Linked DNA regions of Styela clava. The protein of the gene in region 2 purifies or fractionates together with the protein of the main gene of each other region. This does not show direct contact. Links are inferred from orthologs where the notes say so. Each region holds a gene or a part of one and is shown on either strand. Other genes may lie near its edges.

Region 1 (6,893 bases), on a different chromosome or scaffold from region 2:
CCATCACAAAATTTCTGAGCATAAGAAGTAGGCTACATAGTACAATATTCTGTTTAACTAATATGAATCTATTTACTAAGTAAATAGCCATAAATGCAACATTTTGAAAGTTATATGATTGTTTTTACTCAAAATTATTTACTCAAATCCATTTCTATTGGTATATTAAGCATTCCTTTCCCCGCTGCAACTGCTGCTTCCATTGGCGTCAATTTTGCTTTTTTCGCTGTCAATGCATTATCATTATCAGCTTTCCTCTTCCCTCTATCCGATTCTAATTTAAACATCATTTCTTGTAATTTAGCGAGCAATTCTGGGTTAGGTTCGAGAGAATCTTCGCTTTTCTGTTGTTGTTTACTCGTACTTGGTTCTTCCTGCTTCTCTTCGACTATATTTCCTCGTCTTTGTTTGAGATCAAAAATCTCCTGTTCCTCTCGTTTTCTTCGAGCTCGTTCTTGGGCGAGTGAAGCTCCGTATAAGGTAATCAATTCCATCCATGTTTTTATTTCAGGGTGTAGTAATTGTAAGATTTGTTGAGCAGCCATTTGTTTTCCAATTTTCTTGTTTTTAGCGACTCCGCTGACAACGTGTATTCCGCATTTCATAGTATAATTTAACGATCTTCTTTTTCCCTGCTGTACGTCGTAACTTACTGTTGTGTCTGTGACGCCTTGGTTTCGTTTCAAGCACTCAGTAAGCATTTGGTATGGAAGTAACTGTCCAGTATGTATACATAACTCGTAGACTCTGGAATCGGTAATCAAAACGTCATTGAAATATGCCATATCTGGAGTTTCAGCAGCGCCTTCTACTTGTCCTTTAAATCCTGGTATAAGCATTTCTAGAGTAGCAAGAGCGGCTTTATTTTTGGCTGTCTTTTTATTAATCGCAACTGCTGTTCCATATACTTTTCCATTCAGCTTGATCACTGTTTCAAATGGTTCGGCAGAATCTTCCCGAGTGTTGAAAATATAATTGGGCTGCACTTTCAAAACTCTTTGTGCATATTCATGAAGAATGCAAACCATTGGTTTTCCGTTAGTATTTAAAACGAATTTTCGATTTCTGGTTGTACCATCAGGGCCTACCTCTTGCTCAACTGTTAACGTGATAAGTTTTCCGGACCCGGGTTTTCCGGTATCAGCATCTACATCTTTTGAAGAATCATTTTCATCATTTTCTTCCAATTTTTTTCTTCGCATATTTCGTGTAAAGTCTCGACGTTGTGACCACTTTTTAAATCGTGGTATTTTTAATGTTTCAAATACAAAACGTTTTTCTAAATATTCTTTTAATTCTTTGTCTTCAATGCACATGTCGCTTTGATCGTGAAGAATAACTTTAGGTTGAGAGACACCATCAAGTTGACTTTTGTCATCTGAAGCTGTATCTCCGTTAGCATTCTGCTCCTGCTTTCCTTTTACCAAATCTTCCTGCTCAGTGTCTTCGTTCGAATTCTGAATCTGTGATTCTACATTACTTTTCAATTCGTTTAATTTTTCTAAATTTTTTTTATAATATAGACACGGTATACTTTGAAGTCTTATTTTATGTTTCCCTACAAAACCATGCAGCAAAGTGAACGGTCTCGATAATGTAACAACTTTAGTCTTCTTGTGTAAATATAACGGGATACCAGTTGTATGAGTTAGAACTACCCATCCCTCGGGTAACGGCTCTGTTGATGCCTTCGGGGAAACATGTTTGAGCACAGTTTTGTATTTGTAACCCAGCAATCCTTCAGGTTGATTTTCTCCGTTGGCATCTTCACTATTGTTTAGGTTGCTACTTGGCAATTGTCCATCTGTAACCGAATACAAAAATCAGATCAAAAAACATTACCAGGACAACCATATTCAGTAGTTTATCAAAAATTAAATTGCATTTGAGCAGATTCACAATAATCATGAAAAAACCGAGATATATCAGACGATTATCATAAAATAATTTTTATAGAACAACCTATTTAGGAGCCCATGAAGCCCCAATACAAACAGACAATTAAATCCTAACTCTGTGAGTGGCACTGAACAACTTTTCAATAAACAGATCTAATATAAATTTGAAGTTTAAATGTAATTAAAAATGAAGTAATAATATTCGATTACCGGTACCATTGTTGAAAAACAATATGAATTTCATAAATTTAGATTCTAGTTGTTTTCATGTGCTCGAGAAACATAGTACTGTAGTACAATTTACCATAGGTCAATAAATTGATCGAATAGTTCAACTGCGATTGATGAGAGGGGTTCATTTTGGTACAGCAGTAGATGATGCCAAACGACATAACATGGAAGTATATTATTATAGTTGAATACAACACAATTCAGAAATTATTTGATATTTTAATTTTCATTATAATATTGCACAAAACCCTGAAACTTCAATTTTATAAAAAAGCAAAAGATATTGTTATAATCATATATAAAATCACTAAATAATTTTTAAATTATTCAAATATTGACCTGCTACGTTATTCTCAGTTTCATGAAGTTCTTCATCTTCATATTCCTCGTCATCATGATCAGAATCATCCATCATTTCAACGTCATCATGCACGGATTCTTTTTTAATTTCAACTTCTTCTTCCAAACCTGACCCATTTTTCACCTCGGGTCCATTGTCATTTTGTATTACATCAGACATTTCACTTAAAATTCTCAAGAACTGGGGTTAAATTTTATATAAAAATATTGAAGACTGACAGCAGCATGTTTTCAGATGCAGTGCAATTATGCCACTTGGAAAGGCATAATGAACTGCATCGTCAGCATGTTGCTTTATCCAATAGCATGGTATACCGTACCGTAATAATTACACCAAAAAGCGACAACTAACAGACTAAGGGACAGGCAGACAAGTTTAAAACTGCCATGGTTATTCTGCTATTACAGCATTATTCTATCACAGTAACACTATTATTATAATATCAGAATATTGCACCGCAAGTTAGTCAGTCGAAGTTGGAATGAAAATAGCACTAGCCCGTTGATAAGAGTTAGATGACTCACATTCACACATACTGACTCTGAGTGTACGATACAATTTCCGAAAGCATATTTCATCGCGTTATCAATTGTAATGCGTGCCAATCCACTAAGTCACGCATATGTAACCTAACCAATGCAATATCCTATAAACCAGGTCGCAGCCATCCGAAAGCATGTTTCGTCATCACTCGCCAATCTTATACCTACCTACAGATGAACCATGAAAAAGCGAGGAAATGAAATGCCCGTCCCCACCTACGTTCGATATATGGGGTTTGGAGAGCTGGCTTTACATCGGCATATTATTATGCTCTTCTTTTCTCCTGTAATAACTATATAATAAAATTTACATATTTATCCCGGGAGAGGGGGGGGGAGCCGATAAAAGCGCCTAAACATATGGCCTCTCGATGCTAAACCCGATGAAGCCTGCGAGGAGTGTTTAAAATATATACGTACAAAAGCAAACTATAACGGAATGCTGGCCTGAGAAACGTGTACTACCGTAAATATGGTACTACACATGTACAAACAGACTGGAGAGCGGAGAATAAATCGTTTCCAATTTCATCCAAATATTTTCACTTTGATTGGACGAAATTATCCGTATTTAAGTTGATAGCCTTCATTTTATACAGCGTGTGTGTAGTACCCCCACTAAGTAAAATTGATCAATCTGAATCCCAACGCAATTATATTGCAGTCCCCTCGTGAGGATATTTGGAAATGATAATAGCCGTTATGGTGATTGTGACAAAGTTGTCTTTGGTGATCAGATTGAGAAGCATAATATCCGAAAAGTGACTACAATGACGCGTATAGCTGTTTGGTGTTGGATCGTGCAAGCTGGGCCAAAATTGGTAGACAGAGATATGAACACATTGAAATGGTACCAATATAAAGTTGACAAATATTCAACAAGACATGTGTATTTATACGATGAGAATGAGATATGGTCGTATGGAAACGTGCCTAACTCTAGTGTTAACTGATTGTATCCATCTAAATAATTCAAGATTCAGAAAAAATTGCATATCTCTGGATTTGTCTGGCTTTCATCAGGGGGATATGCCAATCTAGTGAGTCGGATTAATTCATCAAAAAGGTCAAACAAGATTATTTCACACGAGATCTCAAAATTAGCCATTTCAATCATCATAGTAGCCTAATAATTACTGAGTTTGATACTGAAGTGTTCTCTGAGGTAGTGCCTGGAACGGGTGGTGCGGCTTGGAAATAAGGAACCGGGATAAATATGTAAATATTATCCTAACAAACAAAATGATGGAATATATGCCGTACGATTAGCTAGATTTAACGTTAAAGTTTATACCACGAAAAAATGATAACAATAATGATAGAGAGACGAAATCCAACCCTACTGGCGTGTACATGGTGAATGTACGGTAGGCCATCATTCAAGATGAAGTTCGTACACGAATATTTACGGATGCAACAAATAATGCTGACTCGAGATGGCGATAGTAAGCTTTGAAGCAGACTGGCTTTCTGGCCAAAATCAACCGGCGGAAAACCGACGTGGTGACGATTTTTCAGCCAAGTGTGTAAGATCACTTTTGAAAGCAATTGAATATAGAGGAATTTCAGAAAACTTTTCAATCTTCGACTACTGAATATTTAAATATGATAAATAACTATACCAGCACTATAAAGATATTTTTTTGAAATCACACAATTGAACTTGGAGGCAGTTACTGCTGAGTTCACTATGATTAAAAGATTGACGTTTCTATGTCTCCTGGGAAAATGATCAACTTCAGTTGTATTCATCACTTACCACAAATCATAGTTAAATAAGTTTGACGCCGGCAATTTATTTATATGGGTTCATGAGGTTGCTGCTTTCGGTGCGTTCAAATCAATGCGTTTCACTACACAGTGGAATTCGTCAGTGATTATTCAGAAAGTATGAAAACAAATAAGTTGATGGAAACGAAATGGACCAACAGTCAACAATCATTTCGCTAACACGAGTAACATTGTAGGTTCATTGAGTTGTTTGTGCAAGTGACTACATGTTTGCTCCCTATCCAAACTAGACAATGAGTGTAAGAGGATTCGAATGCGTTATTTTCTATTGGCCCATTAAGACGTCAACAACAGCCAATTTGTAGTAAACACCTTAAAAGTTTTGAGTTACTACCGTAATAGTGAAAATTCCCGGTATGTAAAATGATTTACTGATTAAAGCACATAGCAGACATGTGGAAATCATCAAATGAAAAGCACATCGTACTGGGCCACAATAAAAATCGTAAGCAAGGAAGGGAATTCAGTGTGTACCTTTATATTAATAACTGTCCAGTAGGGAAATAATTTTTTCACACAGTTTAGTATGGTAAATAAATTTTGCTTACTGGCCCAAGTACGATTGTAACTTGACCATGTTTGATAGGGAGAACTTTCTGACTATGATTTGACTCATCTTTGTCGGGGAAAGTACTGTCAGTAAATGCTGCATTCAGCATTGTGTAGGTTTTTAAATCTGTTGGGAATCATATATTGCCTGTGAGGAAACCAAGAAATAAACAACCATTTCTTACCAAACTGACCTTTTAGAGTTAGTGCATCTTATGTAACGAATTCGAAGAAAGGTGTTCCCTGAGGATACCCTATAACTTTATCTAGTGTAGTACTTGAAGGTGCACCCGGGGACTTTGTCGCACAAGGCTAGGCGACTTGACATACAAAATTATTCCATTGGTTATTCGAATTTTTTATAATACTGAATTACGACGGTGAAAAGCTTAATAATAGGTACTCCCGTTGTGTGTGTACCAAGTTAGGGTTAGGCCACAATTTATTTCCGATTTTCCTTATTTTAGTTACATGACGAGTTCGGGGACTGTCTGTGTTAGCCAAGTGAACATACCCACTGCCCATAGGTTTCAGTCCCTTTACATTTACACAACTTGATGTAAAGTAGGCGAACAAAATTAGTTACCTCCACATTGGTACACACACTTCTGAAGCGCATAATTTTGTCATAATAATCCCTACGACAGTGAAAAGCCTAATAATATATATATTCAATAAATGCGATACTTAATGTTGTATGCGCACATAAACTATCATAACGCGGTCAGATTTCCAGTCGTACGTTTTCAACGGATTTGATCATTTCATGTAAACTTTTCGAGGCGGGTAAATGATAATTTTTTAAAGATTGATATTTCGCTACGCACAGCCTGGGAACCACACCCCAAAGTGATAAATAATCCAAATCATCGGTGAAAATAATAAGACTAAATACACAACATATATACTAATTATCTCTAACTTTCTTTGACAATTTGAGAGTTGATGTCACCAGTATTTCTCTCGTCATAGATTTTTCGCGGGGGACTAACCGATGCCAATAAAAACTTCGTAGATTTCGAATCTATGGTGTAAGCCAAGGCATGACTCCGATATTGCAACTTCCAAGTACTTTGTTGCTACATAAATACCACGGTGTTATTTTCTTGAAATCACATTTCCACCCAAGAACCCTGTTAACAAAATGACTAATATAAATTCAGTGAGAAGTACTTTATATTGCTCGCATACAGCGCAAAGAGAGAAAGGAGAAAACAGCCACAATTAAGAAAAATCAAATAATAAGAATTATATTCAACCAAAAAATTATTATCAAATAACTGGTGGTGGAACATAGAGGCCTGTCACAAGAAATCCTGAATTTATTCATCGAAGACCTCAGAGTAATAAAAAAACATCCACATTTCTGTCATTTGATAGTAACTTTTAAGTTGTAACAGTTTTCAATCGTAATAATAATAATGATAGAGATATCAAATAGCGTAAAGAAGCATGTGCCAATCAAAGCAAAAAATAATAATACACGATAACTATGATTAAAATATAAAGAACGAAATTGGA
Region 2 (6,853 bases):
AGTTGGCGAACAATATTTCTCCATATCAATGTACACACTTCTAGAGCGCCCTTTAGATCTATTTATTTATAGCTCGGGTACTTTGGCTCGGCGGTGTGGCGCATCGTGCTAAGCGTTAAGAATCCGCTCGCCACCGCATCTCTGATGACCCTTTTTGGGTTCGCAGGTTAGAATCCCATGCGTGGATGATCATGTGCGAGAGGATTGCTGGACTCCTCGCCGCCGTAGGGTGGTTCACATAACCGCTGGTCGGTTACGGCTTCCTCCACCATCAAGTCCATGCTTCCGAAAACAAATAACTGGCTAACTAATCCCATACCCGACCTGGACTGGTAACCGGACGAGAGGCCGTGGTTTGCCATATGATTAAGCCGTATTATCGGCTTTCCTCTTCCCCGGGATAAATATGTAAATCCTATCCAATCCCAGCCTATTACGGAACCAGGCCACGCAATGATATTGAGATCGCCACGCAAAATATTTAAGGCGATAAAATACGGGCAAATACAGGTGAATGGGGAAGCGATTCCGATAAGCCATCTTGGCTAATGTTCTGTGGTCGTTTTTGTTCGCTTTTGACTGATATATTGGCTATATTATTAACCATGACTCAAGCAAATTTCTAAAACTGCCAAAATTAGCACCGTATGTTGGGCTGGGATATATAAGCGTTTGATATATAATGGGAAACAAGTCAAGATCAGGAGAATATGCGAAAAAAATTCACGCAAATAATTTATTTTGTGTCAAATCTCATAAGAAATGCATTACGCGCCTGGGCAAAGGAAGCATATCGTCAAAACGAGAGAGCCTTTAAATGATCCCGCGGAAAGGAGAGAGAAGCCGTGGTATTAATATGTTAAGTAATATCCGGATCTGGTTAATCCCACCTCCGTCCACCTTGAATGCTTCGACGACAAATTAACGTGAGCTCGACAGTCTCGTGGTTGTTGAGCTGCTGGTGATGTACGGCTGTACGGTAACGGTATGGTACCGGCAGACAGATGAGTTAATAGTTTACTTTTGCCTTAGGTTTGTAGGTTGTTATAGCCGAAGGCAGTACAATCCGCGGGTCTGGTATAGTTTAGTACCACATGTAAAGTTACTTCTAGTTGACCTGGCTCAACAATTTTCGCATATGTCAATCCTAACCCCCACCTGACTACGTCACCGAAAAATTACGTCATTTCGACGTCACAGTGGCGTAATAAGGCCCACCGAAGTATGCGGATGGTCGTCCAAAACGCGCAGACGATCACCCGAAATCGAGCAAGCAATTTCTCTCGTTTTCTCGTCACAACGATCACGATCGCCGGCTTTAGCAAGTTTGTTATCGGCGGCGCAGATGACATTTCTGGCGATCGTAGTTATACTTTGGCAATCCCTATGACGTGATGGTGACGTCGTAGTGACGTAATTTTTGGATGGCATAGTCAGGTGGGGGTTAGGAATAGCATATGCAAAATACTGAAATATACCGGAAGTACTTGTGGTACTAAACTATACTAGACCCCAATCCGCAATTTGACGAAAGCAGTACCGGTACCGATAATTCATGCAACCTGCTTGCTAGCATGGCATTTTGGGTCTAGTATAGTTTAGTACCACAAGTACTTCCAGTTGGCGTAGCACGGTGGTTCTCAACCTGTGGTACGCGTACCACTAGTGGTACACGAAAGATGATCAAGTGGTACGCGGGCAGCCTTGAACTATTGCAACAATTAACTTTTGAGTTGGCCAAAATATGCCTGACAACGCTTTATCTTCCATACTGTATGTATTCGCTGAATGGCCTTCATGAATGTTTCCCTGTGCATCAATTTCCTTGTTTATTTCCGTAACCAGCAACAATCAGTAAACATTGCCTCGTTTTTATAGTTTTGCGTGTTATTTGTCAGTTTTCAGTTGCATTTCAAAAAAAATAGTTGTGAATTAAATATCTTAATTGGTATTATGTCTTCAAAGGAGCATTAATTTTGTTGCTTTAATCAAAAATGAGTCTCGCAAATGCTGCGATAGACTAATCTAAACTAAGCTATCAGTGCCTGTAAGCGGCACATGGTTGAATAATTTTAATAAAAATGAAGGTTTTCAAAATTTTTTGCAATAGTAAAGTATAGGAAGAATTTTTCTGGGGTCAAGGGTCAGAGAAACGTCTTACAGTCTTATGGACCAGTCCAGCCTTTAGAGATCGCCCTCGCCTGCTATTGCCCACGAACGAATCGAGATGGGCATGTTTTCGTCCGTCTTGCGAATTAGGTCACTAAGGATGTAGTGCCACGTTATAAAATACTCCCATAGCATGTGTCTTGTGCCATTGTTCCCTACGCCAAAAAGGGGCTATTTCAGTGGTACGCGGCCAGAGTACAGGAGTAAAAAACAGTAAAGTGGTACGCGGTCAGTAAAAGGTTGAGAACCACTGGCGTAGCATAACGAGTTTTCCATATGTTATTCCTAACCCCCACCTGACTATGCCATCCAAAAATTACGCAACTACGACGTCACTATCACGTCATAGGGCTTGTCAAATTATAATTACAATCGCCCGTAATGGCATCTTCGCCGTTGATAACGAACTCGCCCAAGCCGGCAATCTCTCTCCTATCGTGATCGTTGTGACGTAAAAACGAGAGAAATCGCTTGCATCGAATTCGGGTGATCGTCTGCCCGCTTTGGACGACCATCCGCATACTTTGGTGGGCCTTATTACGCCACTGTTACGTCGAAATGACGTAATTTTTCTGTGATGTAGTCAGGAGGGGGAGGATTGACATATGCAAAAATTGTTGAGCCAGGCAAACTAGAAGTGCATGTGGTACTAAACTATACCAGACCCGGCATTTTTAATATTGTTACCGGTACCCCTAAATCGAATTATCAAAAGCGTACGCCCACCAGAAGTATGTTAGGTACCGGTACTACACGAGGTAAACTACACGAGACCTTGGTACCGTCGTAGTACCGTACCTCCTAATATTTCTAACCTAATCTAGTCTGCTAGTCCAGTAGTTTGATTATGAAGTTAGACACCTGCTGACCTGAATAATGATCGACCGATTATTCCAGAAGTGCGGAATCATGTTTATTTGTTTATGTTTGTTGTGACTTGTTTTCTTACTCCTTCAGTCCTTCGGTAGGTGAACGCGTTTTATATGTTATAAACTTGTTTTTAGGTTTTGTCCACTTTCCTGATTCTTGGCCTTTTCTTTTTTGTATATTGTTTATTTTTTGAAAATGAATCATAATAAAATCTATCTATCTAGTCGTTCTTGTTGTACAATTTGACTATTTTTGCCCTGATAGAACCCATCTTACTGCAGTACTGTCTTACCCTAGAAATATGGAAATACTGAAATACAGCACTGCATCATGTTGCAGGTACAGATATAATATAAAAGCAGAAAAACATCTAGTGGAAATACAGAAATAGTTCTGAATGTAGCACTTATAGTCTTCGAAGTTTCATGTGACGGCCCACGCACGTCGCGATTGATTTGATGCATTATCAAAACAAGCATGGCATGATCTGTCACCAGAAGCCCTTATTTCAGTGTGTTTGTTTTATTAAACCTAATGTCGGGACATCTTGAAATTGGAGAATTGTATCCTATTGTAGAGTAATTAGGCTAATTGGTCAGATAATTTTTTGGTCACCATAATTTGTGAGAAATGAATGATTTTTAATTGTCTGCAGGTCTAGTAACCTCGTTATGATGACCTAAGTTGTAGACCAATTGAATTTAATTATAAGACGTTTCAGGGACAAATAGTTTTTTTATCTAAATATTCTGAATATTACGACATCTTGGAATTGAAGTAACTATTTTACTAATAACTGATTTTATCAGTTTTTAGGTTTGCAGATAGGGTATTGTTCTGTACTAGAACGATTATATTGCATGTAGATAACCAAATATTGTCAGTCAACACTGGACAAAGGTCTTCTTCATTTTCTGCTCATTAATTAATCAAATATGTTGTCAATATTGATGAGTAATGGGAATTCTTTTGCATTATGACGATATCGCAACAAATCATTCAGTCATTGAGATCGGATTCTCATATTTCCACTGGCAATTGTGGAGAAGAGAATGAGGAAGGCGTTTTTGATCTTGATGAACATCTTCGAGCCGCGTCGAAGAAAGTTTTGCTGCAAAGAATAAATTTTGTAGGTTAGTCTGAAAGTTCATTAATACAAATGAAAATTGAAATACGGTAGTTATAAAATTTGCTATAGCCATATTTATATACAGGGTGATCCTAAAAAACAGAACTTAAAATTGTTTAATTATACGAAAAATGAAGAATATTTTTCAACCACTTAAGCTTCTCTTTGTGTATGATTATACCCAATTTCAGTATTCCCAATGACCTGTTTTTATCACTTTGTGTTAATTTAATAATGTATCTGTTCTACTGTATTTGTAAAATTTGAAATATACAATTCTGGAATGTTCCAATGTAAAATTTGTATTTTTTTGCAAATCTAATATATTGTAAATTTATTAATCGACAATGAATTGGTTTGTGAAGAAAATTCTGGACTTCCACGTCATCATCATCAACCATTACTAAAACATATTCCTTTATATTTATTTATTTTAATTCTTACAGAAGCGAAGCAGCCATATCACATAAACTTGAAGAAATTGAAATCAAAATACGTTATCCTAAATCCAAGTCAAAAAAGTGAAGCAACTAAGAATTCAATCACCATGTCTCCAGGTAGTATTAATTGAAGACTAGATCGAATTGAATTTGGATTTTCCATTTCCAAATCCTAAACTGTTATTCATTTAGTTTTCATCGACTGATTGTTAGATTACACGATTTTCTGTACCAAAGTACAATTATTATTTAACCAACTGTGCATCGAAAATGATTTCAAGTGAGAAGGTTAAATTTTTTCAAATTTACCAAATTGGTTTAGAGGCATACATACTTGGATCGAGAACAAAATAATCAGTGCCCATTCTCCGCAGGACTGTGTCTGTTTAGTGTTTATATTTATAAGAACTACATGAAAGGAAATCAGCGCATTTTTTGCATTCCCAGCAATTTACAGTAGCTCTGAAATAATATTTAACATCTAGCACGAATTATATTGTTAGACTCGTGTCATTAATGATAATATCGTTCAGTTTAAGTTATTAATTTATCAAGTGCGATCGGAGGTATGCGTGTATAAGGTGAAGTTTTAGTGCGATCAGAGTTATGCGCATATAATCCGACCCTCTTAGTTTGGCAACCTTTTTTTTTGAACTTTAAACTCTGCTTATGTTCGAGGAGTTTTAATGAGATTAATTGAGCATTTTGTGTACCTATAGCTTTTTAATTATTTTGCTAAATTGTTTGTTATTTTTATGACGAAAATGGCCAATCACTCTGAAATTTCTAGCAGAGTACGAGTTTGTTATCTTTGTTTTTTTCTATGCTCACGTTAGTATTTTTCTGTTTTAGCACTTAAAGTTAATGCCCCAAGCACTACTGAAACATCTGGAACAGGACATGATGGGATACCATCACCTAAACATACAATATTTTCAGCTGACAAGGTGTCTTTTGTTTCTTTTTTTAAATCTTTCTTTAATTTGACTTATAATTTCTAGACTAAAAATCTATTTGTTGATAGTTTTTCTCCAAATTTTGTGCCATATTACGATACTTAGCTATCTATGATATTTTGTCATAAGGAAGGAATTGGGTATATGCGTTTACCTAGTATGATATGGTTTTGCTAGTATTCATATTTTTAAGTTTTCGAATATGTAGAATCAATTTGCTTGCTATTTGGTTGATTACTAAGTCTTTTCCAAAGTCACATTTCCCATTCCATGATCAAGGAAGATAATTATTTAATGGGAGTCAAATTTAACAATGACAAATTGAGTCGTTATCGCTAGTACTAGTGCATTATCCTAAGTGCTTTTGTTTTATGTACAATACCATAGCCATAGTATTATTCACTTTGTCATGGTGGATATCAATAATGCATAAGAGAACTCTATATTAGTTCACACCTTTACCAAGAATGTGCCAGAGAAAAGTTATAATTATCATCAATTTTAAAGAAAAAAAATCTAATTTTTTGTAACAAACAGGTTGAATTGTCTTGGAAGAAAGCTATGCGTGCCGGATCTGGACTTTGTAATTTAGGAAACACCTGCTTTTTGAATTCGGCATTGCAATGTCTCGCATACACTGCACCTCTTGCTAATTATTTAATACATTTGGATCATCGAAAACATTGTAAGACTTTTTTTTTATTCAGATTCAAATAATCCTATAATATTGTTTCAAAACTATTTATTTTTTTATAATAGGTTTGTCTTTTTGTGGAAACAGACGGATTTTAATTGTGAAAATCAATTTTTTTTCACATTATGCACCAAGTAACCATCCTCATTAAGATAGATTGCCTCTGGGCAACAGACTATCCAAGTTTTTTTGGACTAACTAGATCCCCTACCTCAACCTCTAATTTGTGTCAAATTACTGTTTGACTAAAATTATTGTTTACAAGTAAAATCATGATAAACTTCAATAATTTTGCTGTACAAATTTCAAATCAGAAGTGATAGCAGAGCAAAATTACATATAAAAATGGTGCCTAATTTCTGGCGTAAATATACTAGGTACATAAGTAATATTGTACAATGTACATCCATCATTTTCAGGTCAGGTCAATGGACAATTTTGTATGTTATGTGCCATGCAACAGCATCTACTCAGCATACATTCCAACTCAGGACAGCCTATAAAACCAATGTATATTCTGAAGAATTTGAGAAGTGAGTATCCTAGATGTAGCATTTGTTTGCAATGTGCAGATAGTCTCAGAAACTCCGTCCAT
Region 3 (7,943 bases), on a different chromosome or scaffold from region 2:
TCAACCAAAATCTTAACATCATGCTATCTAGCTAGAATAGCTAAATGATACCAAACATCATTCAACATTCCTTCAGTAGCACACTGTGGTTCATACTCCTGTTCTTGTTCTGAATATAATCATACCTTGTACAGTTCATTCCAAATGCGCTTAGACTGCCCAGCAGTGAAGTACGCACCAAGAACAACATTTTTTGTCCCGTCATCCTCTCGTACTAAATCCAAATCTTTTTCTTCTTTATAGAGATCTGACGATTTTTCAACCTGGAAGAAAAAGATGTAATTCAAAAAAATACTAGATGATTAGAACATGTTCGATAATTCTACCTAAAAATAATCTCACCTCAGCAGACAACGATTCTAAATCTGTAAATTTTAAACTAGGACGTTTCCTAGTTGATTTCTTCCCAAATGTTGACCCAAAACTTTCAGTGTCAAGAATATGTACCCGAGCATTCTGTATAAGAAAAAATTGAATTTGTTAGGTACAGTGACTTTTCAGTTTGTTACTGGCTTAATAGTGTAAGTTTCGTTTGGCATAATTAAAATTTCAGATATTCATTACTAATGTGCCCAAGAAAGGTCCAACCGGCTTCTTCTGAAGTGAAGAAAAGTAATACCAGATGCAACTAAAACTATATGGAACTTGGAAGTATGATGTCACTATCGGCCCCAGTATATATGGATTAAGGTGATTTGAAGCAATAAAATGCTGAACAAAATACTCGTACACCTAAAATTTTTGTGATTTCTCCTTAAAAAAGTTATTCATTTTTTGTTCAATTTTCAAAATCACACACAAAATAAATTATTACCTTGGCTCTGTCATGTAATAATGACATTGGTAATTTCCCAGTTCTTAACACAAGTTGATATGGATCCTTCATAACATTTCCAATTTCTTTCTGAAATCTCTGAAGATTTTTTTGAGCGATGACCCTTGTGTTACCTGCAATAGAATACAAAACTCTTATAGCCCATACAATTAAGTAATAATCTTAATTCCAAAACTTCCCAAAGAATTTATGAATAAGGGCTGACCTGGCCCAATGTTTCAACAGCCTAATTCTGGACAGTGTCGCGAGCCGAGGCCTTACTAATACTGATTAATATGTTATAAACCTGTTCCAAACCATATTTCCATAAACATATAAATATTATATAAAATTTAACAAACTGTGAGAGACCAGAAATATACGCAACTGTTCCTTTCTTCAAAAAATATAGTGGTTGTCATAAATAATGACTGTTTGTTTTAAGGGCAATTATGTCACACCTCCACAAAAAAAAAGTTCATAAATTAGACAAACTAATTTTATCATAAAATTATTAACAATTGCCAGATTAAAATTCTATTTATTGAGTAAAATATGTGTTCTTCATGTCTCAGTGAAATAAGACAGTTTAAAATGAAGTATAAACTTATTCAAACTCACCAAACCATCTTCGGTTTGGTTCCACTCGTGCTTGTGTACCAGATGGAAGCTCTCCTTGAAATTCAGGAGGTTTCACAATTTTTCCTTTACGATTTCTAGAAAGATTGATGTTATAAATGAGACGAGCTACAAATGAGTTAAATTAAATGTGCAATAAGAAGAAATAAAAACATAGTTTCAAATTAGTGGTAACCATTATAGACATTAATTAATCAAAATCAGACTTTACCTCACAGCCTTTCCACCTCTGTACATATTAAGTCTCTTTATTGTTGCCTTTGTTCTCATATTTTGACCTCCTTTGCCAACTTCTTTAGCTCGGTCTGTATATTTTTAAGAAGGCACAAAAATATATTTATTCACAATTGTATATATCCACTGTACTTAAATTTGAATCTAGGGTGAAATGGACATAATATGGTAAATTAATCCCAAAATCTGGATAATTCGAAAACAAGAGGAATTACATGATAATAATTATTTGTGCTATAGGATCCATATACCCAAATAATAAAGTAGTAATTGCGTATTTTGCATTCTCGAACCAGTATAAATTGGATTGCCAATTGAACATACGAATACTGTATATTAAAATATTAGATAGCTTAGTTTCAGTTCAGAAATGGCGTACTATTGATAGAAACATGCTATTCCTAAGAGTTTTGCACATTGATGTACATACCTGGATTATCTCCAGATGCAGATTTCCTTATCCTTCCTTCATTCCTTTTCTTAGTTTTGGCCATTTTTTGTTGTTACAAATCAAAACTATTAGTAAAGTATTATTGTCCTGTTGTCCTAGAATAATACTTTATACTGAATACATGATTATAATTAATAGGATTTATTGGAAATGGAAATTTCTGGTACAGAAATGCCAATAAAACTTGTATCGCTATTACTGTATTAAGTGTATAAAAATTACATCTAGATTAAATAAAAATGTCGAGGGCTATATATATACAATCATATTGAAATAACACGTACACTATCACAATGATAAAGGCTATACAAATATTAGATATACATGTCCAAGTGGATTTAGGTCTCTATATTTAATATACAGTCATCTAATAGGACCGGTATGGTTCAATTTTAGATGCAAAATAGGGCTGGATTCAGATATTTATTTTCATTGTACAGTTGTACAAGAGTTGAATGTAAAACAATAACTACATGAAAAAATACCAAAAAACGGAAAACATTGAATATTTTCAAAATATCTCAACTGTGAGGTTGGGACAATTCAACTTACATACAACTTCGAACCATTTCAAAAAATTCAAGTGCAGGTTAAAAAAAGCGCCAAAGCGTGAAATCCTGTGTAGTTTCGTACCTCAAGTATTTCTAGTAACGATCAATCTCATACCTTTATCATATACATACCTGATACATACCTTTATCATATTTCACCAAAACCTGTAGGGTCACATTTTGGCCAGAACAGCCATAGACCACTTATAACACTATCGCCCTTGAGTGGTGCATACCATATATGTACACACCCTTTAAACTTAACTATTCCCGCGTTTTATAGTATGTGGTATCATCACTCAATGGTGTTGTACATTCATCCAAATTCTTAATTTTTTAAAAAAAAATTTTTTATTACTATATTCATATGCCAGTGTATTTCATGTTGTGTTGTGTCTTTATTTATAGATGTTGTTTTGTCTAACAAACTCCTTTGTACAAACAGTTTTGTACACTCCACCCTTATCCCTGTTACCACATCCTGACATCCACCCACCCTCCTTGCACAACTGCCTGTATAAAGGACCATATTGTACATATTTGATTTACCCTATTATAATTTATATATATCAAAAGGGGTGTATGCCGCAGATCTGTGTTTTAGGCCAATATGGTCTTGTGCATACATCCCGTCTTCAGTATTTATAATTACTTACTCTTTTATATTGCTTTTACGAGACGAATAAACATACATACATACAACCCCACCATGACTAAGCCATATATGACACAGTCAGGTGGGGGTTGGGATTGATATATGCAAAGAATGTTATGCTACCACCACTAGAAGTAGGCTACTTTCAGACTTTAGGTCTGTAGGAACGAAACTACACAGCCAGACAGAACCCAATACCGGTACCGTACCACTATAAAACAAACAAAAAATCACCAAAAACTGCATATATATTCATACAGTCATACGAACACATTCATCCATTACCGGTACAGGCACCGCACGGTCGTACCCAAACCACTTTTTTTTAACTTTCTCCAGGTTAGCCTACCGGTATCTATTATTTTGATACGATTCATGATATCAATCCCAGCAGCCGGATGCCTGGTGAGAGATGATGAACACCACTCTGGAGGTATAAGTTACAATTACATCATTGACAGTCATCAATCAATGGTTACATAACCCAGAGATGAACGCAGGAACATGCCGTTTGGTAGCTGCAATAACGCAGGAGTCAATTTAAAATCGGACATGGTGTGTCCGGTTTGTTACATACATGGCTAAACAAGACTCATTCAAGACTTAACTCCTCAATGGTATATATATATATATATCTCGGTATGCTGCATTTAATTCAAAATACTCTAAACAAACTAACAAAAGAAAAAATGACACTGTTACAATTTCGGTGCAACCTACTGAACTAACCGGGTAATGGCACAATTCACCATGAGCGTTGGCTCAGAGCCTAGTGTTTTCTTCCGCTGCAGATGTTATTTTACCAGAAATTTCTACTCTGCTGAATATGGGAAACATTTTGAGTTTGAAGATAACGGTCAAGAATTTATTCAGCAAAATTCTAAAGTGAGTATATTTGTCAGGTGTCCAAATATTATATTGTTTGCTGGTTTGGGGCAAGAACTTTAGATAATACTTCAATATTGACCCAATTTCATTCCTGTTTTGTATATACATACCTTTATATTTGGTAAGTGAGCGAAGAATCTCTGTTTATGCTTCTATTTTAAAACATACCCAAGGTTTTGTCCACTCCATGATTTCTAAATTTCAGTTTTGTTTATATGTAATCTTGTATAATACTATCAATTGAACTTTGATTTTATTTATACCATCAGCCTCTTTTTTTATAGCTCTTAGAGGAAATAGGGTGTTCCACCCCAGAAAAGAAGAATAAACTGCTTTTTGTACTTGAAAAAGAGAGTACAAGAAGAAAAAATATAGATGCACAATCAGTACAACGGAAGAGTAAAATCAAGGCTTGTTATGCACCTTTGCACAAAGTGAATGTCTTGAAGGTATGATGTTATATATGCATCAGATGATATATTATTGCAATAAAATGTCCAAAAACAGGAATAAAAAAAATACAATTGCATCAAGTACATATTGAGTATCAAATCTTCTTAATTTAGGAAGAATATTTGAAAGAAGAATTTCTGGCCATTGTCAAGCATGCTAAAGAAGGAAATGCCACATTTGCAAGCTTGTCGAAAAAATTGAAGAAAGAAAAAGTAGAAGGCGTATATCGATTGCCAGTTTTTAAGAAGACATTTTGCAAAAACTTAGCAGAAGAACTTAACAATTTTGAAAGTAGCAATATGCCAAAAGGTCGTCCAAACACAATGAATAATGGTGGAGTGAGTATTAGAAATGCCAACAGTGTGCAAGGTGCCACATGCGCAAAAAACAACGCGCATGCTTACCGACAGTTTTTCCGTATCTGCATTGGCCAAAATCACCACCATCTACTAGGAAAACGCTTTCGATATGGAGGCAATGAATTGGCAAAATTTTTAGTAGTTTGTGGAAATTTTCAAGTACCATTGGTATCAGATTTCTTGTAGTTGTTATTAATTTATAACAAGCCTAAATCTCCCGCTTTTCAGATTCTACTTGATGAATTAGGATTCAATGAGGATTTTATTACACCGCTGCGTGAATGTTACCTTGACCCTATTGCGAAGATTCTATTCCCGGATTGGGTGGATGAAAAACTAGATTCTCATAAAGCGTTTACAGTCAATTATAAAGAAGATCAAGATTTAGACTTGGGATATCATTATGATAATGCAGAGGTAACCTTGAATGTGTGCCTTGGAAAAGATTTTGATGATGGAAGCCTATATTTTGGTTCAATGAGGCAGGTATGGGTTTGAATAATAATAGTTGCCCATTCTTTCGTATTCTGCCAAAAGAGGGATTATTAGTTTTTTTGTTCAACAGGAATGCAATAGGTCTGACAAGACTGTGGAAGTCAAACACAAAGTTGGTGAAGGAGTGTTACACAGAGGACAACACAAACATGGTGCCATGCCCATTTCATATGGCGAAAGAACCAACTTGATTATATGGATGAGATCTTCATCAATTAGAAACCAGCTTTGCCCTATGTGTGATAACAAACCCACACTCGCACCTGCTATTGGCTTTGGTGATGGATTTACAAGACATGACACACTAACAGTGCAAGTATGCAGTTTACATTAGCGACTCGTGCCACACTTAATCAAATACTACAATGTGAAAAGCTGCGTGGCTAATCAAATTTAAGAATGTTCCAAATTAGAAAAGGTATTTTTCAAATGTATTTTAGAAAAAGGTTTAGCTTGAGGCCCACAGCCTACTTAAATCGTGTCATTGCTACAGTTTCCTTCAATTGCTTTTGCTAAGTATTTTTAAATAATTAATTGCAATAAATATATTCATTTATAATAGAAAGCATAAAAGGGTTTCATTATTATCTGCGAAGAGAGTCTACTGAGAATATTATTTTATGATTCTAGCAGCCCGTCAATTCTATCTAGTCTGTGGATGATTATCAGTTATTGCACACACAAGCACACCAATTGCGGATAAAAGTATGCAATCGTCGATTCGTTGCAGATACCACTGAACCGTGCCACAGGTGCAAAATCAAATCAATGCATTGCACTTGTGGTATAGTCGTATTGCGGACTGGGCTGGAAAAAAAGCTCGCTTTCGAAGTGCTAGCCTGTTTACACTGACATTGGAAGAATAAAGCATTAATTATAATAATAAAAATATAAAACAATGCCACCGATGAATAAATATATAAGCAATCACCATATGGATACCAATGCGAATAATAATTGGACCAACTGATACAAAATGCTTCAGTGAACAACAAATTACCTAACAAGCATTTGGCAATCTTATCGGCTTCTATAAAAAATTGCATTGATATTTCTCTAAACAATTAGCTATAGTTTTGTCTCTAACAAAAGCATTATAAATCTATAGTGTTCTATTTGAAAACTTGCATCAGTGTTTTCAGCTTGTATACAAAGACTTGTCAAGGTTATCAATGCCAGCTTCAAACAAAACTTGAATGACGGATTTTATCCACTCGAAATATGCAGTAATCACAGGATTATGTATAATAAACTTTTGGTCATGATGGATCCACTTTTAAAAGATCATTAATTTGTTGCCGATACATTGCCTTTACGTCCGCTAGGTCCATCCTCAACTCTTCATTCTCTTCTTCCTTTTCTCCATACATGGTTAAGATTGCAGAATAACGTCCTTCAACATCAGCAAGTTTATCTTTCATGGTTTGGAGCTCCTTGGAAACACCTTCCAAATCTTCATTTAAATTTGTTAATCGAACTATTTCTTCAGCCATTGATGATCTAGTTCTTTCAAGCATGTTAATGTCACCTCGTAGCTGAGCTATTTCACCATCACGAAGCTTGATCATCGTCTGAAGATTTTCTAAAACATTTGACGAGGACATGGGCTTTCCAGAGTCTAATGACAATTGACTAGCTAATGTAGGGAGAGAATTAGAGCTCATATGCTTGTCAAATGTTTCAGTAGAATGGAATGCATCATTTGAGCTTCCAACTGACTCGGTTTCAACAAGCTGATTGCTGGAAACAGAAGTTATCTCAGATCTACTCCACATCATTCTCTCTTTCTCTTTTTGAAGTGCTTCATGCTGTGATGCAAATTTTTTTCGTTCCGCTTCCAATCGTACCTTTTCCATTTGTAGTTGATTTTCTAAGAAAAGACGTTCTTTTCTAGATTTGTGTACAGTTTCTTTTTGTAAAATTCTCAATTCTTCCAATTCCTCAGAAACCAGAGATGTTTGAGTTTTGTATTCATCAACTTTATTTTTCAATATATCTATTTCCTTAAGTTGCTGAGATATAGTGTTCTGAGCACTTTCAACTTGTTTTTCATAGGCAGATGCTTTTGATTTTGCTTCAATGGCACCATTCTGTGCAATTCTTTCATTTTCCCGGGCAGTTAATAACTCAGCTTGTGCTTCCCCTAATCTATTGTTCAATGTTTTCTCAAGCGCATTCCATGAACGTTGTTGCGATGAATGAGTGGCCTGAAGGTTTTCAATTTGCCTCAGGAGGGGCCTTGTAGTATTTGAAACATTATCACTCAAGTCTTGATTGCGTCCCTCAGATTCTTGTATCCTCTGTTGTAATTCTCTTATTTCTCTCCTGTGATCGTCATCTTTTCTGGATGCCGCTGCTTCAGACCTTGACACAGTGTTATTCAATTCCATTATTTGAAGCAATA
Region 4 (7,529 bases), on a different chromosome or scaffold from region 2:
TGGAAGGTTTGAAGGAAGGGAAATCGATAAATCTTTTATTGTTCGACACATCGACTCAATTTCTTCTTGTCCAGTTAAAAACACCAGAATGTCTTCTTGAGGATTTGATTCTTGATGGATCTGTTATTAGAAATGTTACAAATCATCCTAATCAAATTTCATAGAAAGGCCAATGTTACAGTTCTAAAATGTAAAAAAAAAAAACTTTTCTGCAAATTTTCGTAGCTTTCTAGACCCTTGAAGACTCTTAAAAAACCATATTTTTAAGATGATGCGATCTAACTTGGCAACTGGAATTTCAGAACCATCCCATGTGAAAATTCCTGGCTACGAGTACGACCCTGGTCTCCAACTCCAGATATCGAGTAGTCTGTAATAATGACTTCGGCTTTTACTTATCGTATATCTCCAGTAAGAACTGCACAGCCCTGACTCTGACTATGTTGCCATTGATAAAGGGAAATTGGTCTGAATACTTTGCGGTTCTACAGATTTCTACATGCCGTTCAGATTTTGCAGACTATACAGCGATTTCAATTCTTTGATCACTCAAAAGATAAATGATCAAATTATCATTTGCAATTTAAAAGAGTCTACCAATAGTCAATGACGCAAAATTATCACCTGAAATATAGTAACTAATGTTGCTCCGAGGTAGTCCGATTGTTTTTCTTCTGTGTATAAAATATCGATTTTATGTAACCGTCCTTCGAGGTAGAGTACAGGTGATTTGTTGAAATATTTTGAAAAATGATCTACGTCCATGGTAGCAGACATGATTATGATACGGAGGCTGTATTTACATAAGGAAAATAAAATACTATAATATAATGAAATGCAGGAAAGCAAGGCTCAGCTATACTACCAGTAAGATCCGAGGTTAGCTCAGCAAACTTCACTGAAAATATTGGCGCTCCAGAGTGTGTGTACCGATATGAAGGTAACTAATTTTGTTCACCTACTTTACATGAAGTTGTATAAAGGGACTGAAACCTATGGGCAGGGGGTATGGTATATTCACTTGGCTAACACAGTCGCCGACTCGTAATAGAACTAAAATTAGGAAAATTGGAATAAAATTATGGCCTAATCCTAACCTGGTACACACACTACAGGAATGCTGCAAAATGTAGAATTCATTATAAAAACATTCCCATGAAATAAATGAAACAAAATCTTGAAAATTTGAGTTTTTCCATTTACAAGAAATAATGCAGAAATATACTTGATTGAAAGATAAATAAAAGAATGATAGTCAGTAGTCACAAATTATTAATTTAACTAAACTAAACCCCCTTGTAAATAAACAGGGGTCAAAAATATAATATAAACAATAAATATCTGAATTTTTGGCAAATATTTGCAATTTATTAGTGTTGAGACATAAATTATTCAAAAATTAGTAAAAACATAAAATAACCTACCCTGGCAAACCTTTCTCTTTTCTAGACTTCTGTGCATCTTTTACGATTCCAAACAACACATCAGTATGAACAGTTCTTTCATGAGCTTCATCTAACAGAATGGATGAATACCTTGACAACAAACTGTCTCCAAGTGACTCTCTCAGCAACATTCCTGTGTAAGCAATAGTTGAAAAATTTTTTATTTTGGAAATCATTTTAAAAATTAAAGTCAAAAGTTCAAGCACCATTTCAGGAAAGTCAACGTTTCAACAGGGAAGATAAAAATTGAAAATGAATATACCGTCTGTCATGTATTTTATTCTTGTTTTCTCATTTGTACAATCTTCAAATCTGACGCAGTAACCGACTTCTTCACCCAACTTAACATTCAATTCAGCTGATACTCTAAAAATAAAATTACAAATCAATAAATTTCCTTTAAAATATCTCAAAACTTTATGGACACCCTGTTCAAAGTTGTGCCATACATAACCAGTACTTATGTCACATAAAAAAAATAAAACCAATTGATTCAAACTGTAGAGTGATTAGTATTTTGCCAAACCCAGAGAACAAACACTAAGGTTCCAAAATACACGAACAGATTCAGAACCGCTTTGAGGTAAGTAAGGGGCAAGCGTACTAACAGCAAGAATGCCCAATTTATGTGGTAATATTGGTATATTTATTTTAATTTGAATCCTGAATTGTGTCAAATTTTAAAAATAGAAATTACAGTTTTGAATACATTCTGGAATAACATTTTTCAAATATAGAATACAGAGTTTATGTTAAAATTGGGTCATACTGAACAACAAATATGATTAGAGCATTGTAAATTAATGGAGATTGATATTCTATTTACAAGGTTAGAAGTCTTGACCATAAAATTCCAAATTCTCAAAAGAATTTTAGTCTAGTTATTTAAAATAAAATATTGCGCAAAAATGATTTATATAGATGAATAAATTGTAGAAAATGGAGTAATCTAAAATATATGATTTCATTGTATGTCAAATTGCACAAATACAATTGCAAATCAAAACATAAATCTGTGGTTTTATAGTTATTCATTTTACATTTGAAGTTATGACAATATTTTCTATTGAATATACTGAAATAACATGAGCCAAATGTATATACCTTTGAGCAATAGTAATCGCTGCTACCCTTCTTGGTTGGGTACATGCGATGCAGCCTGTTTTGCCCAAGCCAGATTTTAACAAAAATTGAGGAATTTGTGTAGTTTTTCCACTAGCAGTTTCACCGATCACAATCACTGTTGGAGACTTTTTCAACTCTTGAATAAGTCTGTCTCTGGCAGAAAATATGGGGAGTGAACGACGAACAGCGGCCAATGCGTTTTGACTCAAAACTCCATTTTTGTGATGTTGGAGCAATCGCTTTTTCTTTAAAGGTTGGGGAGCGTTTGCTGGCGAAACCTCGAGAGCGATTCCCGCCATTACTAAGTCAATCTATTTTAGCTTTGTTAGTCACTTGGCATAATGGAAACTAGTCTCTTTAAACTACGCAAACCACAGAAACTAAATCTGTATACTTCCTTATGAATGGCGTCACAGAACACGTGGTTTGGTATTTTGATTATGACATCACATCACGCCATGGTGGCTACGTGTGTGTTTACGAATCGTAAAAAAACAGAATTGATGAAATCCGGGAAATTATTTGAACCCCATTATAAGATGGAGTATAGTAGAGAGAGATAGAGAGATATATTTATTATTTTATCAACCAAAATACATACAGTGAAAAAAATGTAACAGAAATAAAATTGCTGTGGTATGGACAGGATGGATTGTATTATTATTGTATAAACAATAATAAATCGGACTTTCTATCTCTTTTATTATTGTATCCTAGATTTATTCAGTGATTGCAATTTTGAGCAAATACGATCATTGCAATTTTATTTATACGGCTCTCCCTAGACAAATGCGAACCTAAAGCACATTAAAAAAAACTGGAAAAGCCAATATTTCCAGATTGATCAATATTCTTGAATTGGGGATAATAATAAAGACATTTGTAGTTACGCAAAACTAATTTTCAATTTTATACTTGTATTTATATTCATTCCAGTGGCAGTATAGTTGAATTTATTTTTTCGTCTGTATTTTTTGTCACTAAAATTATAATTTATTGCGTCTAAAACCATTATAACCTCAGATACAGCTTTGTACAGATATTTTTATGTGTAATTTCAAAATGAACAGAAATATAAATTCATAGAAAATGACAATTTCCGCATGTCATACCCATTTTCTATTCTCAACCATTGTTTACGACGGAGTGTGCACGCAAAGCGCGAGTGTCTGCAAAGTTGTTGATCTGCTGTGCAAAGTGAACGGAGGTTATCGAACGATTCATGAAAACAAGTTTGCAGGACAAATTAAAACTTTAAAAGCTTGGCTGTGTTTGTTTGGTCGGTATTTGGTATTGTAAAGTAAAGTACAAAGGGAAGAATGGATACCGATAAAAAAGAAGGCAGTGGTGATGCCAAAGTGGAAGTAAAAATGGACGCTGAAGCGGCAAAAGCTAAAGAAAAGAGACGTACGCGCAAAGATTCATCAAATAGCCAGAACAGCAGACACTCTGAGTCTGGAAATGGTAATGGAGTGTCAAACGGCGCAGTAAAACGTGCAGGAAAAATAGGTGATCGTAAATCCCGCACAATTTATGGCAGGGGATTGCCAAAGAAAGGTGGTGGAGGGGGAAAAGGAACATGGGGCCGACCCGGCGAGGAATTATTAACTGACGGTGTTATGGATAATAAAGATCCAAATTATGATTCAGAAGAGCAAGACAACGATATTATGTACAAGCCTGTCACACCAGTGTGGAGTGAAGATGAAATTATAAAGACTTTACAACCAATTATCAAAGAATATTTTGAACATGGACAGCAGGATGAAGTCCATGAATCGGTTGAAGGTCTTAATGTATCCGATCGCAAATACATGGTGATTGTGGTGTTGATAACACTCGCTATGGAGAAGAAGAATGAATTCCGAGAGCTGGCATCTCTGTTGTTGAAAAGATTAGTCGCACCATTGTCATCAAAAAATGACAGCGGGGAAAATGCTTCCAAGATAATATATTATGCAAACGCCGAAGATTTGAGTCATGCTTTCTTAGATCTTTGTGATAGTTTACCTGAGCTGGTACTCGATACTCCTGATGCAGCAAAAGTACTTGGAAGATTTCTGGCTCGTGCAATTTCAGAAAAGATAATCGAAGAGAAAATTTTGAGCCGAATTATTGAAGCTGCTTCTCTGAATGATGACGAATACGGAAAGTCTTGCGCAAAAGAAGCGCGTTTGCTCTTGAGTATTCCGCATTATAATTTGAGTCACATTTGGGGAGTCGGAGGTGGAAACCAACCCATGATTTTACTCAAAAAGAAAATTAATCTGTTGTTGAAAGAATATTTGTCATCTGGTGATTCCGAGGAAGCAATACGTTGCATAACAGACCTCGATGTCCCTCATTTTAATCACGAGGTCGTTTACGAGGCTATCATTATGTTGATTGAGTTAAGCAATGAACGCTCTGCAAATATGATGGTCCACCTTTTCAAAAGACTCGCTGATACTGTCGTTGTTACTGCAGACCAGCTCGTGCATGGATTTAAGAGAGTCTATGGAGAAATATCAGACCTGAGTATCGATGTTCCGAAGGCATATCCACAGCTGCAAAATTTTGTGAAGAAATGTCATGATCTCCAAATTATTGATGCAAAACTGATGATGTCTGTGCCAACAAAAAGTCGTAAGCGGTTTGTCAGCGAAGGCGATCATGGGAGATTCAGCGGAGGAAAATATGGCGATCGCTTTTTTGACTTAGCATAGACAACATGCTTGTCGGTGATTTTGTTGAGGTTTTATGTTTTTATTGATTTCTGTAGGTGGCACGGTAAATCTCAATGCTTGTTCTATGCGATAAGTTCCAGGAAACTACAAACTGTGGAAAAAAATTCTCTTTACAATATTTTTACTCAGTTATCAAAAAATATTTCGTCTTTTGCACTGTACCCTTTCACATATTATGAGCGATGATGATTATGGTTTAATAAAGATGTCAATTTATCATCTAAATGCAGTTTGCTTGCAAATTGTAACAAATAATTTGCTAGAGATAATGATTTAAATCTTTCATTATGTTTCAATGATATTCTTGATCTGATTCTTCTAAAATCCTGTATTTTTGTTGATTGTTTATTATATTAATTTGCCTTTTAATTTCGAGCATACACAAAGTTTTGCAAAAAAAAAATTTTCCCGACAAATTGAGAAAATTATTTACATATGGTTACTGTTGTTTCACATTGATAATTCAGGCCACAACCTATGCGTATCTAATTTTTCTGAAGACGATAAATTTTTCAAACGTTTCTGATTTTGCAATTTTAAGCAAATGAAATTCCTAATTTCATTGGGAATACACGATGTGTCCCAATCCTGACATTTTTTTGCGGCAAAGCGATATACAACTATAAAAACGTTTTCGTATTTCTAGTCATTGCTTTACTAACAGGAAATCATGTTTAAATATTGTTCCGCAAAATCTCAGGACTTATTAAATAACAAATTGGAAAAGTGACTGATAATATGAGTCAAGACTTCTTAAGTTGTATTTACCCATACATTGTTTGGTGTTCTCTGTTCCGAATCTTCTGGTCAATCCCTGGCATAATATGAATAAAAATGTTCAAGATGCAACAACAATATTATTTGAATACTTCACAGATAATTTGAAACCAATTTTTTTTAATCATTTCTTTTCATTTTGTCAAAAGTAAAACTTGCTTTTCAAAAATCCCTCTCAACCACAGAAAACCGCTGCACTGTAGATTTAGGCCAGAATCTTATTGTTGCTTATGGCTAGTTTATGGCATATTCTTCCTTCATATTTTGAAATTTCTTGGGTGCACGATCATGTAAGAAAATATGATATAATCTGAAAATTATGATTATGTTTTAACTTGATCATTTCCTATGACAAAATGAATTCTAGATTCTCAAGAATTAAGTACCCTGACTAAAATAATTTAGTACTAATGTATTTCATCTTACTGGTCCATAATCCACTTATCTTGTGCTCATGTCTGACAACAGGCAACATACTTGTCAGGTTCAAAATTGAATCGAAACTGCTCAATCGGCTGCCCATCATTGTATAATGAATAAGAAGAAGATTCTTCATGTTTCTGATATTATGAAAAAATGTCCGAGACTCCTTGCTCGGTATTCTGCACCACAGAATCAAAGAGCATTTTGCATTCAAATTATGTCCACGAGTAATTGATGATCGTAATGAAGATTATTTTTTATTTGAATTAGTGGTTAACCCTTAATTAGTTTTTTGCATTTTTGTTTATATTAAACCTGCGTTTTGTGTGGAATTTACTGTCGTTGAAGGAATGCGGTGTGGATTTGTAAATAAAGGTTGCAAAGAAACTGTTTATTTTGAGCTCTTCTTTCTGTGTTTAATTCAAGGTTTGTCAAGTCAGTTTTAGCTTGATGTTGTTGATGCCAAACTGGTTATAGCTAGCCAAGATCGAGTGTATTTTTTCCAACCAGTAAAAAAATATCGCACCAGCACAAATTACAAGAAAATGATAATTACACAGTTTTTCTGGCGAAAGTAATTCGCGGGGAACCAAAGCTGGTTATCGACACCCGAAGTTCTAATATCTAATTCAAAAAATTGGATTTTGACGGCGAGTACGGTATGACTGACACCACTTATGAAAAATTATATAGTACGGGTTATATTAATTGAAGAGTTATAAGACCAACAGATGGACGGGAATTCCCTATTTCAGCGTAGAACGTGCTGTTCCGAAAATTAGCCTGGGGAATTTTGAAAATAACTAGAGTCACTAGTAGACAGTAGGCGCGGCGGCGTGACTCATCGGCTAGGCGTTAGGAATACGCTAGCCACCGCATACTCTGCGTGGGTTCGCAGGTTCGAATCCCATGCGAGGATAGTTATGTACGAGAGGATTGCTGGACTCCTCGCCGCCGTAGGGTGCTTCACGTAACAGCCGGTCGGTTACGGCTTCCTCCAACATCAAGTCCATGCTTCCGAAAACAATTAACT

The links.
Region 1: the proteins of uncharacterized protein LOC120337459 (region 2) and microprocessor complex subunit DGCR8-like purify together in Homo sapiens (affinity purification with western blotting; 3 studies listed by BioGRID, with this or other methods). This does not show direct contact. The link is inferred for Styela clava from reciprocal best matches to the Homo sapiens genes USP36 and DGCR8.
Region 3: the proteins of uncharacterized protein LOC120337459 (region 2) and uncharacterized protein LOC120325942 purify together in Homo sapiens (affinity purification with mass spectrometry; 3 studies listed by BioGRID and IntAct, with this or other methods). This does not show direct contact. The link is inferred for Styela clava from reciprocal best matches to the Homo sapiens genes USP36 and GNL2.
Region 4: the proteins of uncharacterized protein LOC120337459 (region 2) and ATP-dependent RNA helicase DHX33-like purify together in Homo sapiens (affinity purification with mass spectrometry; 5 studies listed by BioGRID and IntAct, counting the BioPlex papers as one, with this or other methods). This does not show direct contact. The link is inferred for Styela clava from reciprocal best matches to the Homo sapiens genes USP36 and DHX33.

The regions. Positions count from the first base shown.
Region 1 is NC_135250.1:22,757,741-22,764,633, reverse strand, and holds the start of microprocessor complex subunit DGCR8-like, read right to left. Parts: upstream 3,022-6,893; 5' UTR 2,650-3,021; coding exon 2,469-2,649; intron 1,805-2,468; coding exon 135-1,804; 3' UTR 1-134.
Region 2 is NC_135259.1:3,939,874-3,946,726, reverse strand, and holds the start of uncharacterized protein LOC120337459, read left to right. Parts: upstream 1-3,833; 5' UTR 3,834-4,015; coding exon 4,016-4,172; intron 4,173-4,614; coding exon 4,615-4,725; intron 4,726-5,460; coding exon 5,461-5,555; intron 5,556-6,101; coding exon 6,102-6,249; intron 6,250-6,677; coding exon 6,678-6,791; intron 6,792-6,853. UniProt on the Homo sapiens protein: Deubiquitinase essential for the regulation of nucleolar structure and function. Required for cell and organism viability.
Region 3 is NC_135253.1:12,000,889-12,008,831, forward strand, and holds the start of uncharacterized protein LOC120325942, read right to left. Parts: upstream 3,011-7,943; 5' UTR 2,833-3,010; intron 2,258-2,832; exon of another isoform or gene 2,234-2,257; 5' UTR 2,182-2,233; coding exon 2,118-2,181; intron 1,759-2,117; coding exon 1,665-1,758; intron 1,531-1,664; coding exon 1,436-1,530; intron 949-1,435; coding exon 815-948; intron 457-814; coding exon 343-456; intron 264-342; coding exon 126-263; intron 1-125. Other genes in the region: 2-oxoglutarate and iron-dependent oxygenase domain-containing protein 2-like, read left to right, coding at 4,080-4,229, 4,517-4,681, 4,799-5,023, 5,273-5,530, 5,610-5,873; TATA element modulatory factor-like, read right to left, coding at 6,799-7,943. UniProt on the Homo sapiens protein: GTPase that associates with pre-60S ribosomal subunits in the nucleolus and is required for their nuclear export and maturation.
Region 4 is NC_135262.1:5,471,317-5,478,845, reverse strand, and holds the start of ATP-dependent RNA helicase DHX33-like, read right to left. Parts: upstream 3,025-7,529; 5' UTR 2,870-3,024; coding exon 2,550-2,869; intron 1,812-2,549; coding exon 1,708-1,811; intron 1,579-1,707; coding exon 1,425-1,578; intron 794-1,424; coding exon 625-793; intron 121-624; coding exon 1-120. Other genes in the region: programmed cell death protein 4-like, read left to right, coding at 3,890-5,275. UniProt on the Homo sapiens protein: Implicated in nucleolar organization, ribosome biogenesis, protein synthesis and cytoplasmic dsRNA sensing. Stimulates RNA polymerase I transcription of the 47S precursor rRNA.